Schizosaccharomyces pombe: one gene and its partners. The gene in region 1 interacts genetically with each later gene. Each region holds a gene or a part of one and is shown in the gene's direction. Other genes may lie near its edges.

Region 1 (4,983 bases):
GAAACACTACACTTATGTTATGCCTTTAACTTCCGGTTGGGCATAAGTATTTAGTAAAAGAAAAGAAGAATTGTAAATTGACAATGTGTGGGGAATTGGTTTGACGAACGATAATAGATAATATTATGCAATATTGTAAGTAATATTTATAACCTTATCACAGAGAAAAACGCTTTTAACCAGAAGTATTCCTTCCGAAAAACGTATATTGTCTTTATTCACCAGAGAAGAGTGCAAAAACAAAATATTGTCATTGTTGCTCAAGAAAATGATTAAGCAAGAAAAATTGGTTTTATAGTAATGCAAAAAAATTTGAAAAGGAAAAAATCATTTTTTCCATTCATGAAAATAAATAAAACCATTGAATCTGGCATTAGCATTGTCTCTTAAAAGAATTGGGATCCCGCAACGATGTATTCGTAATACCATAAATATGTATGAATTGCAATACGAGGAAAAGCCAGATTTTTTGTAGAATTTAAAACATAAAAAAAAGAGTAAAAACCAGGGTAAATATTGCAAAGGAGTATGTATCAATTTGCGTTTCCGTTAAAAGAAGGAGCATTCTATTTCTTTCATGAAGACTGCGTTTGCCAGTATCAATAACACTCTAAGCTTACTTTGTTTAAAGAACTTTTTAAAGATAAACAGCAGCCATTAACAGGGTTTTTTTTCCTCCATCAAGCTTGAAGAAATAAACTCATATACCGATTTAAAATAATAATATAAAAAATAAATATTGAATGGGACGGGACTCGAACCCGCGAGCTTTCGCACTGGCGTGCAATGCGTTGAACGCACCTAAAGCCAGCTCCATAACCACTCGGACACCCATCCTTTCTGTAACATACTAACGATTATGTACATAATATAGCAAGGATTAATAGAGCTCAAAATAAAAATAAAAGGTAATAAAAGAATGGATATGTTGTAATGATTAAATACAACTTCGGTTATTCTTTCATTCAGTATGGTTAACTGATTTAAAATGTCCAAACGATATGTTTCGTACAATACATGACGAAAATTTAAGAAGGAGAAGAAACTCATATTCCACTTCAAACGAAATATCAGGTCATTAATAAAGAGGGTTATACAAAAGAGGAAAATTTAATTTCACATTTTTTCTTTCTTCTATTTGAAACCTGCTTTTCCGCCAATTCATCTAGTCATGGTTTGTATCGGTCAACTTATAGTGACATTTGGTATGGAACAAATGAATGATTTGTGTAAATTTTATGGCGATTAAAGAAACTTCCGCTAAACATTCTATTTCCATTCATTCTACTTAATTAATTAATTTATCCCATCAAACGATATTTTGAAGCCACAAAACTAGGGGCATTCTTTATTGCACCACCTGTGCAAAAAGTCGTCTTATTCACTCATCATTCATATTAAAAGGAAAACGTTTCCTATCATTCCCCAAGTTAGAAAATTAGCATAGTTCATAGAAATGTAATCAAAAATTCAAAAAAAAGCCTTAATGCTGTGAGCCTTCTACGCATTCATACTAGTGATGGAACAGTAACGTTTAGTTTCATGCTTTTTTCGTCGTCAACTTCATATCAGTGCTCAGGTCAACGCTAATAGTTCAATGCTTTAAGTCATGTCAATTTAAGAGGCTTTAAAAAAAAATATCAGAAATTTTTCTTCCACGGTGTCCGAAAAAATCTAAAGGAAAATTTTTATCGAGTAATATGAGAGTAAAGTCTTACGCAGTTTCCAATGCCTATCATTATTGTACTGCGAGTCGGACAATTCAAAATCTCGTTCCTATGCATCATTCTGATTACAAATGCAAAACCGACATTGTCAAAAGCAAAGTGTGACACTTTCGCAAAATCAGTTTTCGTTGCATTGCTAACTGAAGAGCCAAGCTATATCAAAAAAGAACTTCCTAAAATAACTTTTCTTTTTATGAATTTATTATTTTTCATTCCAAGCGTCAATTGGGAACGCGAACGACGATTAAATCGTTTGAAACTCACCGGCAAATTACGTTTATGCTTGCAGCACTAGCTTTTTATTGAAATGACTCTTCCAAACGAAAATACCTCTGCCATTGAAATGGAACTACTGAAAATAGAGTATCTTCGTGAATTGAAATTTAAGCAGGAAAAGCTTGGTATTGGTGAGACAGCAATTAGTCCTCGGAACTGCAAACCCCGAGGAAGGTAAAACTCAACAATATCAAGAAAAAAAAGATTCCATAAGCCACACACTGGTACATAAACTGAAGAATTACTTGTTTGAAATTACTTAGACAGGGTCAACGGTGTTATTAAGAATTCCAAGTACATTTGCGTAATTGGCAGAGAGTTCTTTCTTGTTTCCACAATTTCCAGCACATTCATTGTTGTAATTGTTTTCGTCGTCTTGTTCGAGAATTTAGCAGGCTACAATATTTTTGCGTCCGTAGCTAGCCGTTGTTTAAGGTTACTCCCAGTGTCTTTTTCATTTTCTCCCACTGTGCCGCCATTCACTATTTATTGCGAATCCGCCTTGTTTACGTTTTACTTCATCTTTTTATTCGTTATTGTCGCGTGTCTTTATTTTGTGCTTTTATTTCCCGCCATCATATGTCGCTGAAGACTACCGGACACTTTAACATTGCGTATTAATTGATGAAAGTTTTATTTATTAGTGAATGATCTTGTCGCATAACAGCATTCTCCGTGTTTTCCGTTTTTCCGTTTATTTCAGTTGAACTGAGTTGACTTGTTGTACAAATTAATCGATCCCTTGTTTCTTTGAGTGAAGTTCTTTTTAAATTCTTACTTCTCTTTTCACTTATACACTTCTTTTTTTTTCGCTTTTCTCATATTAGTTACCATGTATTACGATAACGCTTTCGGCTATATCCCTGCCCACTGGGTCACCATCCTTGCTGTCATTCTCTTTAGTATCGCTTTCATTCTTCACGTTGCTTGTCTTGCTTTCACGAGAAAATGGCTCGTTATCGTCCCTATTATCGGTACCATTGGTGAATTGGCTGGATGGGCTTGTAGGTTAGACGCTTCGTACAATCCAGATGACTACAACGCCTTCTTGGGTCAAATCATCGCTTTAATTATCGCACCAGTCTTTTATTCTGCACAGGCTTACGTTTTGTTTCATCACATCGTTCTTTTGTATGGACCTCGATTTTCCGTTTTATCTCCTAAGCTATATGGAGGCATCTTTATCACTTTTGATATCATCGCTCTTATTCTTCAGGCTGCTGGCGGTGGTGTTGCCGGTGGTGCCGACAGTGGTTCTCAGTTACAAACTCAGGGCTCTCAAATCATGTTGGGCGGTATTTGCTTCCAACTTTTTACCATTGTTGTTTTTTCTATCCTGTTTTCCATTTTTTTCATTGCGTTATATACCCATCATCCCATTCGTCCTTCCACTGGCAGAAGGGAACCAGATGTTCCATATACTCGTGTTCGAACTATGTCCTGTAATTGTCTAGCCCTCGCAACATTTGCAATGGTAGTTCGTTCCGTCTATCGTGTTATTGAGTTGGCACAAGGTTGGGAAGGTGCGGTCATTACTCATGAGGTATGGTTCGATATATTTGATTTCATCCCGATGATTTTTACTTCGGCCCTTTTGATTCCCTCTCTATATCCTGCTCTCGAGAGAAGCAAATTGCCTTTCACCGAAAAGCACGTTTCGTCTATGGAATACGCTCCCTCGGAGTATGGCCCTTCGGAATATGGTCCTTCTATAAACGATATCACCAATATGTCTGCTGTTATTTACCCAGATTCATTTTTGGCACCCAAGGATCCCAAAAAATCTTTCTCCTCTGAGGAGCTTTAAGACCTCTTATAAATGTGAGCTATCTATATTCGCATGCATGGTTTCCGCTACGTGTCAAATTTCTAGTACGTTTGTTATTCGTTTTCACTAATGTCTGTTTTTACAACCGTATTATAATTTCTACAAAATGTTTAGATGAGACATTTCTTCTCCTATTTATTGCTTTGCAATATGCATTACTTATTTCGAGAAAATAGTTTGAAGCAGTGTTAAATACCAAGACGTCGAGTGTGTTTATTTTTTATTAAAAAAAAAAAATTACTGATACGACGAATCCCCTTCTCCCCATTCAAGCTTCATCTTTAATATCGTTTTTTAACTCTTTTCGTTGTATATTTGATTAATAATCATAATTATCTATCTATTAGTCGTTTTTTAATAAATATTTTTGCAAGTAATGGTGAGTTGTTTAAACAAAAAGCATATTCCACAATGAGTAATCTTCTGATAATGGAAAACGGTCTAATACATTAATTTTAAAACTGAGATAAAGTCACGACTCAAGCAATAAAGGACAGAAACGAGAAAATACAGTTAATTTTACTCCATGAGATCGACTTGGTTCCTCGGCTGTTGTGCAGAAATTCGGATTGCCATGTTTGAAAACATGTTAAAAGAAATAAATGAGCTACAAGGTAACCCTGGGGGGAAAACTCTCAGGCAAAAATACAAGCATACAGTAAGAGCTAAATAACTTTGTACCATTTACAAAGAATGAAAGATGAAATCGCAAAAATCATCAGACTACCAAGAATACTAAAGAACCAACCAAGTCCTGGTACGTCTTGTCCTGGAACTTTAACATTCATACCCCATAAACCGGTAACCAAGTTCAACGGAATTAGAATTGTACCCAAGATAGTCAAACGTGATAAGACTTCATTTGTTTCATTCGAAACAAGTGTCATATTAATAGAAATCTGAGCCAAATAATTTGAATGACTTCGAGATAAAATTTTTTCGTAATGGTTCAAATTTTGAACCATAGTGACTATGTGATCCTGCACATCACCAAGATATAAAGCAATTTCACCTCTAGGAGCTACTTGCCATGACTCGTTGCATCGTTTGGAAAGACCTCTAACAACATCTGCCTTATTGGCAAGCAAACGTAGCAAACTCATGATCAGCTTGCGGCATTCACCAACGCGCTGCAACATTCTCTCTTGAGGC
Region 2 (3,613 bases), on another chromosome or scaffold:
GACCCTAGAGTATAACCTAACGTAAAAAGCTGTTCGGCAGCCTCAAAAAATCTTAATTCTGCATCAGGATTTGGAATGGGGTTAAAACGACGATGTCCTGCAAAGCGAGAATTTGTATCATCAGAATAAAGTAACGAACGAAGGACTTCAGACATATATGCTTCTGTCCACATACGAGCATCGACAATATGCTTTTGCCCATTCTCATCAATAGCATATGTGTCAACACCTCCAGGAATTTTAGCTTCCACACGAACATCAACTTGAGAGAAGACATTGTAGCAACAGTAAACTCCGTGACTAACACGCCAAGCGTTTCCCTTCCCAAACCATTGTTGACTTTTATCAAGAGAATAGGAAAGCGTATTTAAATATGCCGCTAGTGAAGCTGAGGAAGAAGCATCAACTCCAGATACAAAGTGATAAGTTCCAACCTTTGACGAGGTTAATAATACGTAAAACGTTAACGTTTCAATAGGAGTGAAAAGTTTGGTAAAGAGAGACTTGTCTTGATCCTTTCCCCACTAATCTCCAACATCATTAACACTACAGCTTTCGCTGCTTTAAAAAGTGACATACCTCTTTTGATGGATTTTTTGCATTAACTTTTATAGTATTGACCTGATCAGGAGGCCCGAGTTCTTTAAATTGTGCGATGGATTTAGAACGCGCATCTAATGACTCGTTTACACGAGTTTCTAAAAACCTATCGTCATTGTTTAGAACTTCAGCTCAATTATATTTAAGGAACTTACTCTGGTATATCCTTAAAGAATGAATCACTCATATATCATAAATTGGAATTAATATGCAAAGCAGCGTTCAATTCGGCCTCGTGGCTGGTTCCAGTTAAGAGGTTATGGTGTAGCCGCAGCCTGACTTGCTGTAACGAAGTGTAGCAAGCGACAATTAGGCAATCGTCCACAATTTCCTTATATATAAAGAATAAATAAATATCATTAAATTATGCATTTAGTGTATTTGAAAACCAAAAAATAATTGAATATTATACATTTTGATTTGTATCTTCATTCATCCTGACAATTGATGATTTAGGGAAGTCAAAAGTAGTACCCAACGAATAGTGTAGCGATAATTTTTTCTTAAGATTACAACTCATTGATTAATACAATTGAAATAAAAATTTCTTGTTGGTGCGGAATCCAACGCAATTAGTATTAAAAAAAAGAACAGCTTTATGTTAGTTTCCACTAAAAGTTAGACCAGTCATACGCACAATGTTAGCTTTAAAAAACTCGCACAATACGCTGGTAAGCATATGATAAATTAATACAATACTTCCAAGCAATTGCGAATGTAAGTTGCTGTGAATTTTTTTCCGAATTTCGAAATCTTTAACGAACCTTTAATGAAACGTCTAAAAGTAGAATCAGGAGTTATTGATTTTTGCATTATATATCTCCTTGACAAGAAATTTTTTGTTTCATCTAGCCATACATTTTGATAGATGTCTCTTGCAATGAACCATTGTTTGTTTAAAATATCCTAAAACCAAATAACATGTGCGAATACGTTATTTAATAGTGCAAAATTCTACAAAGAAAGAATCGAAATTTATGCTTAAGCCATTCATGTTAACGCTCATCAAGAAAGCTAATTTGACTAAATACAATCAATGGAGAGTGCTAGTATACATTGCTTGTTTTAACTGACATTTTTAAATTAACTACGATAAGTGTTAAGATTAAACAAAGTGAGAAACGTAACAGTGCTTAAGTTCAGTTTTCTTGCGAATGTATTGAATTACTTTCACTTGCCCAGCTAGTAAACAATTAAGGCTTTGGTACCGCTTTGTCCTTCTAATAAATTATGGTTAGTAGCGAAAATAACCAGCCTTTTGACTGATGAGAGGTATATATTCATTTGTCAATTCAAATTAATACGGCCTTTTGAATATTTATTTACTGAATAGTGTTGATTAATAAAAAGGCAATCTGTATAGCGATGAATCGTTAGCATCACCAAAGTCATTTTAATCAAACTGCGCTATATTTTACTAAGAAAAGCACGTTACCAATGTTAGATTAACGAATGTACATATTGAACTCAATAAATGTGTCCGACCCTTACCGAACGGGGTTTCAAGAGAGTGTCATGGATTTTAAGTTACCGTTCCCCCATCTCTGTACGATTTAGCAATTCATTGAGAAAATGGCTTTTGCTTGGAAGAAAAACTTTAGGTATGGATTCATTTCTTGAATGTGAACATTAAATATACCCTGATAGTTTTACTAATGAATGAATATTTGTAGTTATAGCAAATATGCTTCTATTTGTTCCCAAACTGTTCGTCAAGCCTTAAAACCGGAAATTAAAAACGAGGTTAAAACTCATGGTGATGCAGAGTTCCTTTATACTCGATGGAAAAATGGCGCTCAGGAAAAAACGGAGTCTTACAATTCGGCAAAGTCTGCTGATAAGGAATGAAAATAAAGGCTACAAACGAATTTTTTGTCCTTCATTACCCATTGGTAATATTTCAGCTTCATTTGATGTTTCACTCATTTCAACAGATATCACTGATGGTTTACAATCTCTTATAATGATTACTATATTCGACTTAACGTTGAATTACTAACTGATCCTTTCAATAAATTTTTATTACTTTTTTTAATGATGAAGTTTAATAGAACAAGGTAGTTTGCTCTGTTTTCTTAAAACTGTTGAGAATGGCACTTCAAATCATTGTGGTTGCTCTGTATTTTCGATCAAATCTATAATCGGCCTTTGTCTCAAAACCAAAAATTGTTGATTTTACTATAATGAGATGTAGCTAATTTAGAAGTAAGTGAGTTTTGTCACTAATATCATTCATTAACGTAGTTTTTGTTTTTGCTACTACCGAGATCATTTATAGTCGCATTACACAGTAAACTTACTACAATACTATGTTCTTAATTGTTTGTATCGTTATCTAGTTTCTAAAAAATGGCTTCAACGTCGAACAAAATTGCTTGTTCTACTGTTTTCAAACAATCATGCAAACTCACCCATTAAAAAATTTTTAATTGTATGAATACAATTTTAGAGCCCGAATGAAAGAAACAGGGTATACATACGAAATCGCATTACATTCAAAACAAACTCCACTTGATGCCTTGTACTCTTTCTCTTCTTGCAAGGATATAGTGTATCGTTTAACTTCGCTATTTAGTGACTACTTGGGTCTCTAGATATGCCACTAAAGACGTGTTTGAGACCTGTCTGCACCTGTCTATGTTGGCGTTTGTAGTCGAAGGCAACGTGCGGTATTAACGATGCAGAAAATCAACACACTCTTCTTTTTGAAAACCACGAACTAAATACGTTACACAGCAAAGACAAAAGTCACCACTTACGCTTTCTTAACGACATCAAAGAAATTACTAAACTACTTTGATAAAGTCTGTAGTAAGAGAAGAGTTACAAAACAATATCCTTATGATAAACATCCCTTAAAACTATAAAAGTTTGCTTTTGATTGCAATTCATAATCTGTTCCTACTTAAAAAAGTAGTCGTCACCCAAGTTCAAAAGTTTGTTCAGTGCATCAAAACATTAAAGAACCAGCCTTAAATTGCCTTGGGAATTAGTGAATTCATACCGATTTTAT
Region 3 (7,307 bases), 1.9 Mb from region 1:
CCCGGTCCTTATTTCCAAGGGGTCCTCTGGATCTTATTTTGTGAAAAATAAAGTCCAAAAAAATATAGCTGTATTTAAACCCAAAGATGAAGAACCGTATGGAAAGCTAAATCCTAAATGGACGAAATGGTTCCATCGAAATTTATTTCCTTGCTTTTTTGGGAGAAGTTGTCTAATTCCGAATACTTCGTATCTTTCAGAAGCCGCTGCTTGTGTTCTAGATAGAGGTCTGGGTTTGTATTTAGTTCCATACACGTCTGTTGCATCAATTTCTTCTCCAACCTTCAATTATGATTATTTTGCACGAAAAGCTTTTCTGACAAGGAATAAGCCTCTTCCTGAAAAGACTGGATCTTTTCAGCAGTTTCTTGATGGTTTCGTCGTTGCATCCAAGTTTTTTGCTCAACATCCCTGGCCTGGTACTCGACATAGAGAAACCCGAGAGTACACGGAGTCTGTAGCTTCCAGCGAGGACTTCGACATTTTCGATCCTTTCTTAGCTGAGAACGAAATTGAGACCGAATTTTGGACCGAAGAATTACGCCTTAAATTCCGGTTTGAATTTGAAAAACTTGTTTTGCTCGATTATTTAATGCGTAATACAGATCGTAATTTGGATAACTGGATGATCAAGATTTGTTACGAACCCTGTGATAATGAAGAATATTATAAATCAATTAATCTTTTATCTACGAATTTAACACCTAATATGTCTGCGAACTCGGTAGACCCTGCTATTTCCCAAACGTCGGATTTTTGGAAGGGACCACATTTTCAAATAGGAGCGATAGATAATTCGTTAGCATTCCCTTATAAACATCCGGATTCTTGGAGGTCCTTTCCTTATGGTTGGCTCTCTTTACCACGCTCCTTATTTACGCAACCTTTTACAGAGTTTACCAGGCAACTCTTTTTACACAAGTTGACTAGCCGAGAATGGTGGGAAAAACTAAGTGATGATTTACGAAACGTATTCAATCAAGATTTAGATTTCGATGAGAAAATGTTTTCGCGGCAACTTTCACTTGTAAAAGGGCAAGCCTACAATATTGTTGAAGTTTTAAAGAATCCCCTCATGAATATTTATGATTTACTTGAGCTCCCTAATTTATATGTTGTTGAGGATGTTGTTCGTATCGAAGTAAATGAGCCAACGTCTGCGAATTCTGAAGAAGCAGAATTTGGTTTACCAATTAAACGAGATTATGGGAGTATTTTGCACCCTTCATGTTCACAAACTTTCCCTCCTTATCCAGGAAGCCAATTATTACAAGCGACACCCGGTCGGTCTTTTTCGTCAAATGCTGAAGCACTTCTGCCGTTAAATTATATTACCCTGTTGTCCAAAGATAGTTCATCTCCAAAAATGTTAAAGGATGTAATTTTTGAAAGACTCCAGTGTGCTTCTTCCAATGCGGTCTTTAGCACGTGTTAATATAAGTCTTGTGTAATAGTATGCTACTATTTCCGAGGATTAAGTCTTTGAAGGTATCATATGTTATTTTCTCGCCTGTTCTTTCTAAGTTCCTTGTTAATTTAATTTTTCCATCATTTTATTGCTACTTCATTCTATTTTATTAATATTAGTTTGATGTTAGCGGTTAACATGAAGGTCTCTAATCATAATTGAGGAATTTAATTTTTTTACCATACAAATCCGACATTACCTGAAATCCTCATAATTGTCCATTGATAACAAAATTTATTATATTTTTAGCTACAGTTTACTCTCTTTTTTTTGTGTTTATTCTACCCATAATTAGTTCTGTTTGAGTTTATAATTGCTTTGCGTTTGCGATTCTTTCCTAGATTATTATTCAAAAATGTTCAATTCATTAAGTATTAGGATCTACTGCTTGTGAATGATTGGAAAAAATGTGCTATTTCTTAAGCCTGTTTACAATCAAATATGTTTAAACATTGCAAAAACGCTTACGTGCTTTTCGATATCAATTTAACGTTTGTTTCAAACATTAAGGTTGAAATGAACACCAATTTTTAATGTATGAAGTTTTGTTACATCCTTATTATCAATAATTTATTTCGAATATAAAACAAAGCAAATGGTTATGAAGAAAATAAAAAATGTTAGTGTAAACTGTTATCCTTGCTAAGCTGCCACATTTGTACGTTGATATTCAGGCAGCTCAGTAAGGCGAAGTTGAGGCTATTCAAGCTCAGCCCTTACGTCTAGTGCGAACCAACCATAATCAAAAAATTAAACGAAAATTTATAAATTCCATATTGTGGCTGAAATAATACTACTTAAAAACTTTCTAACAAAACCTTTGTTTCTGTTGCATGAATTTCTTTCATTGATTTCTTAGGTTTATATTGTTAGTAGACAAACAGTGAATTTCCTTACTGTCCCTTTTTCCCTTCAAGTCTTTAGGATCTACTTTTCATTTCTAATAATTGATTTCTTTGACACAGTCCTCGATTTTGGAGCTGGATTCTTCATTTGAGGCAACAAATTGATTAAAGGACTTAGATATAACAGTGTTTGGGAAATACTGTGAAATTCCTACTTATGTCCTAAATTACGAGGATTTTTATTATATGTTTTTTTTTTCTGTTGTTGTAACCTGTCTAATTTTTTGCAAACTGGAAATTTCTTTTTCAGTTGATACCTAATTTGCACTTCATCTAAACAACTGAGTCTTAAATATTAACAGGTTTTACTTGCCTTTTGAATTATTATTTCCCTTTTATTTGTCTTTAACTTTCATTAGCGGCCCTGGATTTGTATCAAGGCTCAACCCGTATATCGTCTTCTTCGTCTCGGTTTTTTAAAACTATGAAAGACGATAAGGGAAGGTCAGATACTGTGAATGGCTACTATATCTCCAATTCAAAGCTTTCAAGCGGCTTTTATAAACGCAATAATGCCAACACAGCCTCAAACGATGAGAAACCTAATTTAGAGCAAAATGATATTCCTAGCGTTACTAGCTCTGGTTCTTCAACACCTAGCTCTATTTCCATAGAAAAGGAAATTAAAATCTCAAAGGGGAATGTTATAGTTAAGGCTATACGAAGCTGGTCTCTTTATGTTGCAATCATCGCCATTCTTTTATTATTAGTTATTCTACATTCTTTTCAAGGTCGTCCACAGGACAATGGTTGCGGAAAGTCCTATGTTTGGCCTTCTTATGTTCGTTTTGTTGATTTTGATGAACGTTACACTCGTTTCGCAAATAAATATTCGCTCTACCTTTATAGAGAAAAAAGCGTAGAGGAAAGTGACGAACCATCAGGTATTCCTATCCTTTTCATTCCTGGTAATGCGGGTAGCTATAAACAAGTAAGAGCTTTTGCTGCTCAAGCTGCCCATGTTTATGCTAATGCTTACGCTGAAGACGCTGATGGTACGCTAAATGCTGGTAAACTCGTCCCTGATTTTTTTGTGGTGGATTTTAATGAGGATTTTTCAGCATTTCATGGCCAAACGCTGTTGGACCAAGCTGAATATGTCAATGATGCTATTCCATATATACTCTCTCTTTACCGTCAAAATCGAAAAATCTCTTCGGAGTATGACAATGAAGCTTTTCCTCCCCCAACGTCCGTTATATTACTTGGTCATTCTATGGGAGGGATTGTTGCTCAAGCTACTTTTACGATGAAAAACTACGTTGATGGTTCTGTTAATACCCTAATTACTTTAGCTACGCCACATGCAATGGCCCCTTTGCCTTTTGATAGGCATCTAGTAGAATTTTATGAATCAATTAAAAACTTTTGGTCCCAGTCCTTTCTGTTGAGTCCAGAAGAAAATTCACTAGATGATGTTTTGCTTGTTTCCATAGCTGGGGGAGGTTTAGATACTCATGTTGTACCGGAGTATTCGTCCATCTCTACCTTTGTGCCCCCCTCGAACGGTCTAATGGTTTTTACTTCTGGTATCCCTTCCGTTTGGGCAGAAATTGATCATCAAGCTATGGCTTGGTGCGAGAATTTCCGTCGGGTACTAATTCGGGGAATTTTTGCAATTATGGATGCAAGGACATCAAAGTGCACCGTTTCTCTTAATTTGAGGAAGGAGTTGCTTAGTCGTGCCTACATCCAGGGTTCTTCTTTTCAAAACGACATTACGCAAATTTCCAAACCAATTGCTCAATACAAAGCTTTGGACCTTGATCTTACTTACGTTTATAGCGAGATGCCAGGGCAACTGTTATTTTTGAACCAACTAGGTGTTTCTTATATTCGGCATCATATCTTTCCTATTCCGAAGCCTACCTCAAGCATTGACCGATTCGAATTGCTTACTGATCAGCCTATTGATCTTTCGTCATCCAATATTAAAGTATTGGCTTGCCGCCTTGATCCAAAAATTGATAATACTATATCTGCTTTATTAGAGAATGGTAACAATAAAGTAATTAACGCTAATTGCCATTTACTTAGGGAATTGGTTACTTTGCTTCCTGCTTCAACTGCATACACCAGCAGTCCATATGGTGGTGACAGTTTTTATAACTACGTATTGCCAAAGGAAAAAATGGATGATTATCATTTTATTTTAGTGTCTGATGATTCGAAAGCACCCGCTAGTGGGTTTGTTGTTGGGGGATTTTCAAATGTTTCGTTGGATCCTAAAACGATTAAAGGTTCTCAAATTGAACTCTTCAAAAGCGGAAGAAAATTTCAATTCGACACCAAAGGATCGATTTCGAAACGCTTCAGGTTCCCTGGTATTCAGAGCTCAATTATGGCTTACACCATTTCAGTAACGTACGAACTTTATCCTGGTGCCGTACCTCAAAAAGAATTTACCCCTATGTTAAAGCAAAGTATTGAATCTCCATTTGAAACAAAATATCATGTGAATATGTCAAATACAGAACTTTCTGTTCACGGGATATCCCCATTTATGGAATTTTTTGGTAAGGAATCAGAAAAATCTTTAACTCTCGAATTCTTTTTGAATCCTGCTATCTATAAGTCGGTTTATGTTTCAATACAGCCAAGTTATTACAGGAGCGCTGGGCGTCTGCTCATGCGTTACAGAACATTACTTGCTTCCTTTCCTGTGGTTGTAATTAGTTTGGCAGCTTACAATCAGTTTAGGTATTTTCATTACGGTTCTGCATACTTGAGTATGTCGGCTGCACTTGAAGTCATGATTCGCAAAGGACTTATCAAACTCCTTTTTTTAGTTTCGATCTTGTCAATTGCATTTTCATATTTAATTAGCAGAGTAGAGTTGATTGTTGCCGATGGTGCTGACCCTGTCGCCTCTTGGAAAATATTCGCAATGATGGTTCCAAAATCTTTCTGGAAACAAAATCATTTACTTTTTGGACTACAGACTGCTCAATTTTGGTTCCTCGCCCCGCTGTTAACTTTAATGTTTGTTGGCTTAGTTATAACAGCCAGTGTTATTATACTCTGTGTCATGCATTTATTAGCATTCATATATGGTATCTACTTGCGTTATAAAGGTTTGACTTTTACTGGTGTATGCCAAGCTGTGAAGTTCTCCTTTCAATGTCTGAGAACAAGAAATACTAGAAAATTGGATCATGGAGAATTTAAAAAACTTTCGAGTTTTCTATCTCAGAGAAATATGTATTATGCAAACCCTTCTCTCTGTTACGTATATGGAAAGAAGCATATGCAAGCTCGGATAATTGGCATCATGTTATTGTTGCTCATGGCAATGACGGTGGTACCCTTTCAACTTGTTTATGGTGTTGCTTTATGTACCCAGACAGTAACTACTGCTAAAGCTTTACACTTGGCCCGATTTTGCACCAAGTCAAGCCATTACCGAAAAAAATTGTGGGATTTCTACAATTTCTCTTGCACGATAACAATACTGATGTTACTCTTAGCTCCTTTGGACTTTCCTGTTCTCATTGTTTGGGCTAGAAATCTTTCCATGCATTGGTCTATTCCTTTCCCCACACATCATAATTTCTTCTCAATTATCCCTTTTATATTACTCACCGAAATTTTACGAACAGGAAAGATGCTACCTCGTTTGAACGACGTGGAGTACTACATAAATAACGTTTTTTTGTTTCTTCTGTCTTTCTATTCATTGATATATGGAGCTGAAAAACCATACCTCATTCACAATGTAGTTGGGTTATACTTTTTTTGGCTTTTATTTTTGTATGCCAAGAATGGTTTTTTTGTACAAAACATTTCGAAATGGCCGATCATTCCTAGAATGAAGTATTTTATTAAGCACAAATTTTTGCGATCTATTTCTTAATGGAAACTTGTAACAATATTATTTAATTCTTTTCTCTTTTTTCTTTATTCTCTCTTTTATATTACATTATTTCCTTTATTTTCACACTGTTGAACACTTATCATACTTTAATTTTCAAGATAGAACTTCGTTTTTATTTGGTAGACATTCGTTCATTGAATTTTATTTCTATTTATTACCTTGAATAATATCTCTTTACAAAGTTTATTGGTTTATCAAAGACTGAATAACTCACATTAGCATGATGGAAATAGAAAAAGATGAATTAATATATGAGCTGTCATCAACAGTTAAGAGATATTTTTTGATTTTTGTAGACCAACACTAAAGGTACTGGCCTTTCTTCCGTACGTGATAATGGCTGTAATAGTTCAAATAAGGAAACATAATTCACTTGGGAAAATTCCTGAGATAAAGGCACAATATTAGCGGTTGGCGAAGGAAGCTTGTAAATCTGGCGCACACTCAGGTCGGGAAAAATAGCCAAAGCTTGGTGATTCCAAACAAATTGAAACATGTAGCTATGAAATCCGTCAACATATATGCGGCATAAGGCAAGAGGTCTGTTGCTGATGGACAAAGTCTTCAGTGAGGATGATGTGAAAGAACCCAAACAAGCCAAAATCCCAAGAGTATCTGTTGGATAAGATGACAAAGAGCCTTCAAGCTCTCTAACAAATCTGGGCCCTATTGATCCCTTGTTAGATTTGCAGGATACGACAACTTTGGTGGGCTCAAACAACACATTTTTAATCGAAAATTGGCCCACCAAATCCACCCCACCATCGCCCTTTCCACCACATCTTTCAAGCTGAAAACTGTGTTGCTTTAGCACATACTGTACCAAGTATTCAAACAAGGTTCCTTGGGCAACAGTATTCGACGTTGAAGGCTTCTGAACACTCAAATGTTCTAAATAGGAAACAAGATTGTTGTGTGTGACAGACAAGTTTCTAAGGCCTAAAAGGCCTCTGTTCATGAATGAAAAATTTCTACACCGATTGAACCCTGACTTTAAAATCCACATCACGCTAGACAGAATGCGAAAGACTTAAACAGTATAAAGTTCAGGATAAGAAAT

Evidence for each region. Genes that interact genetically often act in the same process or in processes that back each other up.
Region 2: mutations in tco1 (region 1) and atp15 together harm fitness less than expected from each alone (positive genetic interaction), as found in Schizosaccharomyces pombe (one large-scale study listed by BioGRID).
Region 3: mutations in tco1 (region 1) and bst1 together harm fitness more than expected from each alone (negative genetic interaction), as found in Schizosaccharomyces pombe (one large-scale study listed by BioGRID).

What each region holds. Positions count from the first base shown.
Region 1 is NC_003424.3:3,587,802-3,592,784, reverse strand, and holds tco1 (RTA1-like protein), read left to right. Parts: upstream 1-2,214; 5' UTR 2,215-2,835; coding exon 2,836-3,810; 3' UTR 3,811-4,170; downstream 4,171-4,983. Other genes in the region: vacuolar CorA family magnesium ion transmembrane transporter Mnr2, read right to left, coding at 4,497-4,983.
Region 2 is NC_003423.3:3,783,022-3,786,634, reverse strand, and holds atp15 (F0-ATPase epsilon subunit Atp15), read left to right. Parts: upstream 1-2,132; 5' UTR 2,133-2,172; coding exon 2,173-2,201; intron 2,202-2,273; coding exon 2,274-2,448; 3' UTR 2,449-2,779; downstream 2,780-3,613. Other genes in the region: bch1 (ChAPs family protein), read right to left, coding at 1-434, 580-706, 756-787. UniProt on the Schizosaccharomyces pombe protein: Mitochondrial membrane ATP synthase (F(1)F(0) ATP synthase or Complex V) produces ATP from ADP in the presence of a proton gradient across the membrane which is generated by electron transport complexes of the respiratory chain.
Region 3 is NC_003424.3:1,682,393-1,689,699, forward strand, and holds bst1 (GPI inositol deacylase), read left to right. Parts: upstream 1-2,202; 5' UTR 2,203-2,797; coding exon 2,798-6,226; 3' UTR 6,227-6,473; downstream 6,474-7,307. Other genes in the region: 1-phosphatidylinositol 4-kinase Lsb6, read left to right, coding at 1-1,435; SPOM_SPAC824.03C (uncharacterized protein), read right to left, coding at 6,510-7,253. UniProt on the Schizosaccharomyces pombe protein: Involved in inositol deacylation of GPI-anchored proteins which plays important roles in the quality control and ER-associated degradation of GPI-anchored proteins.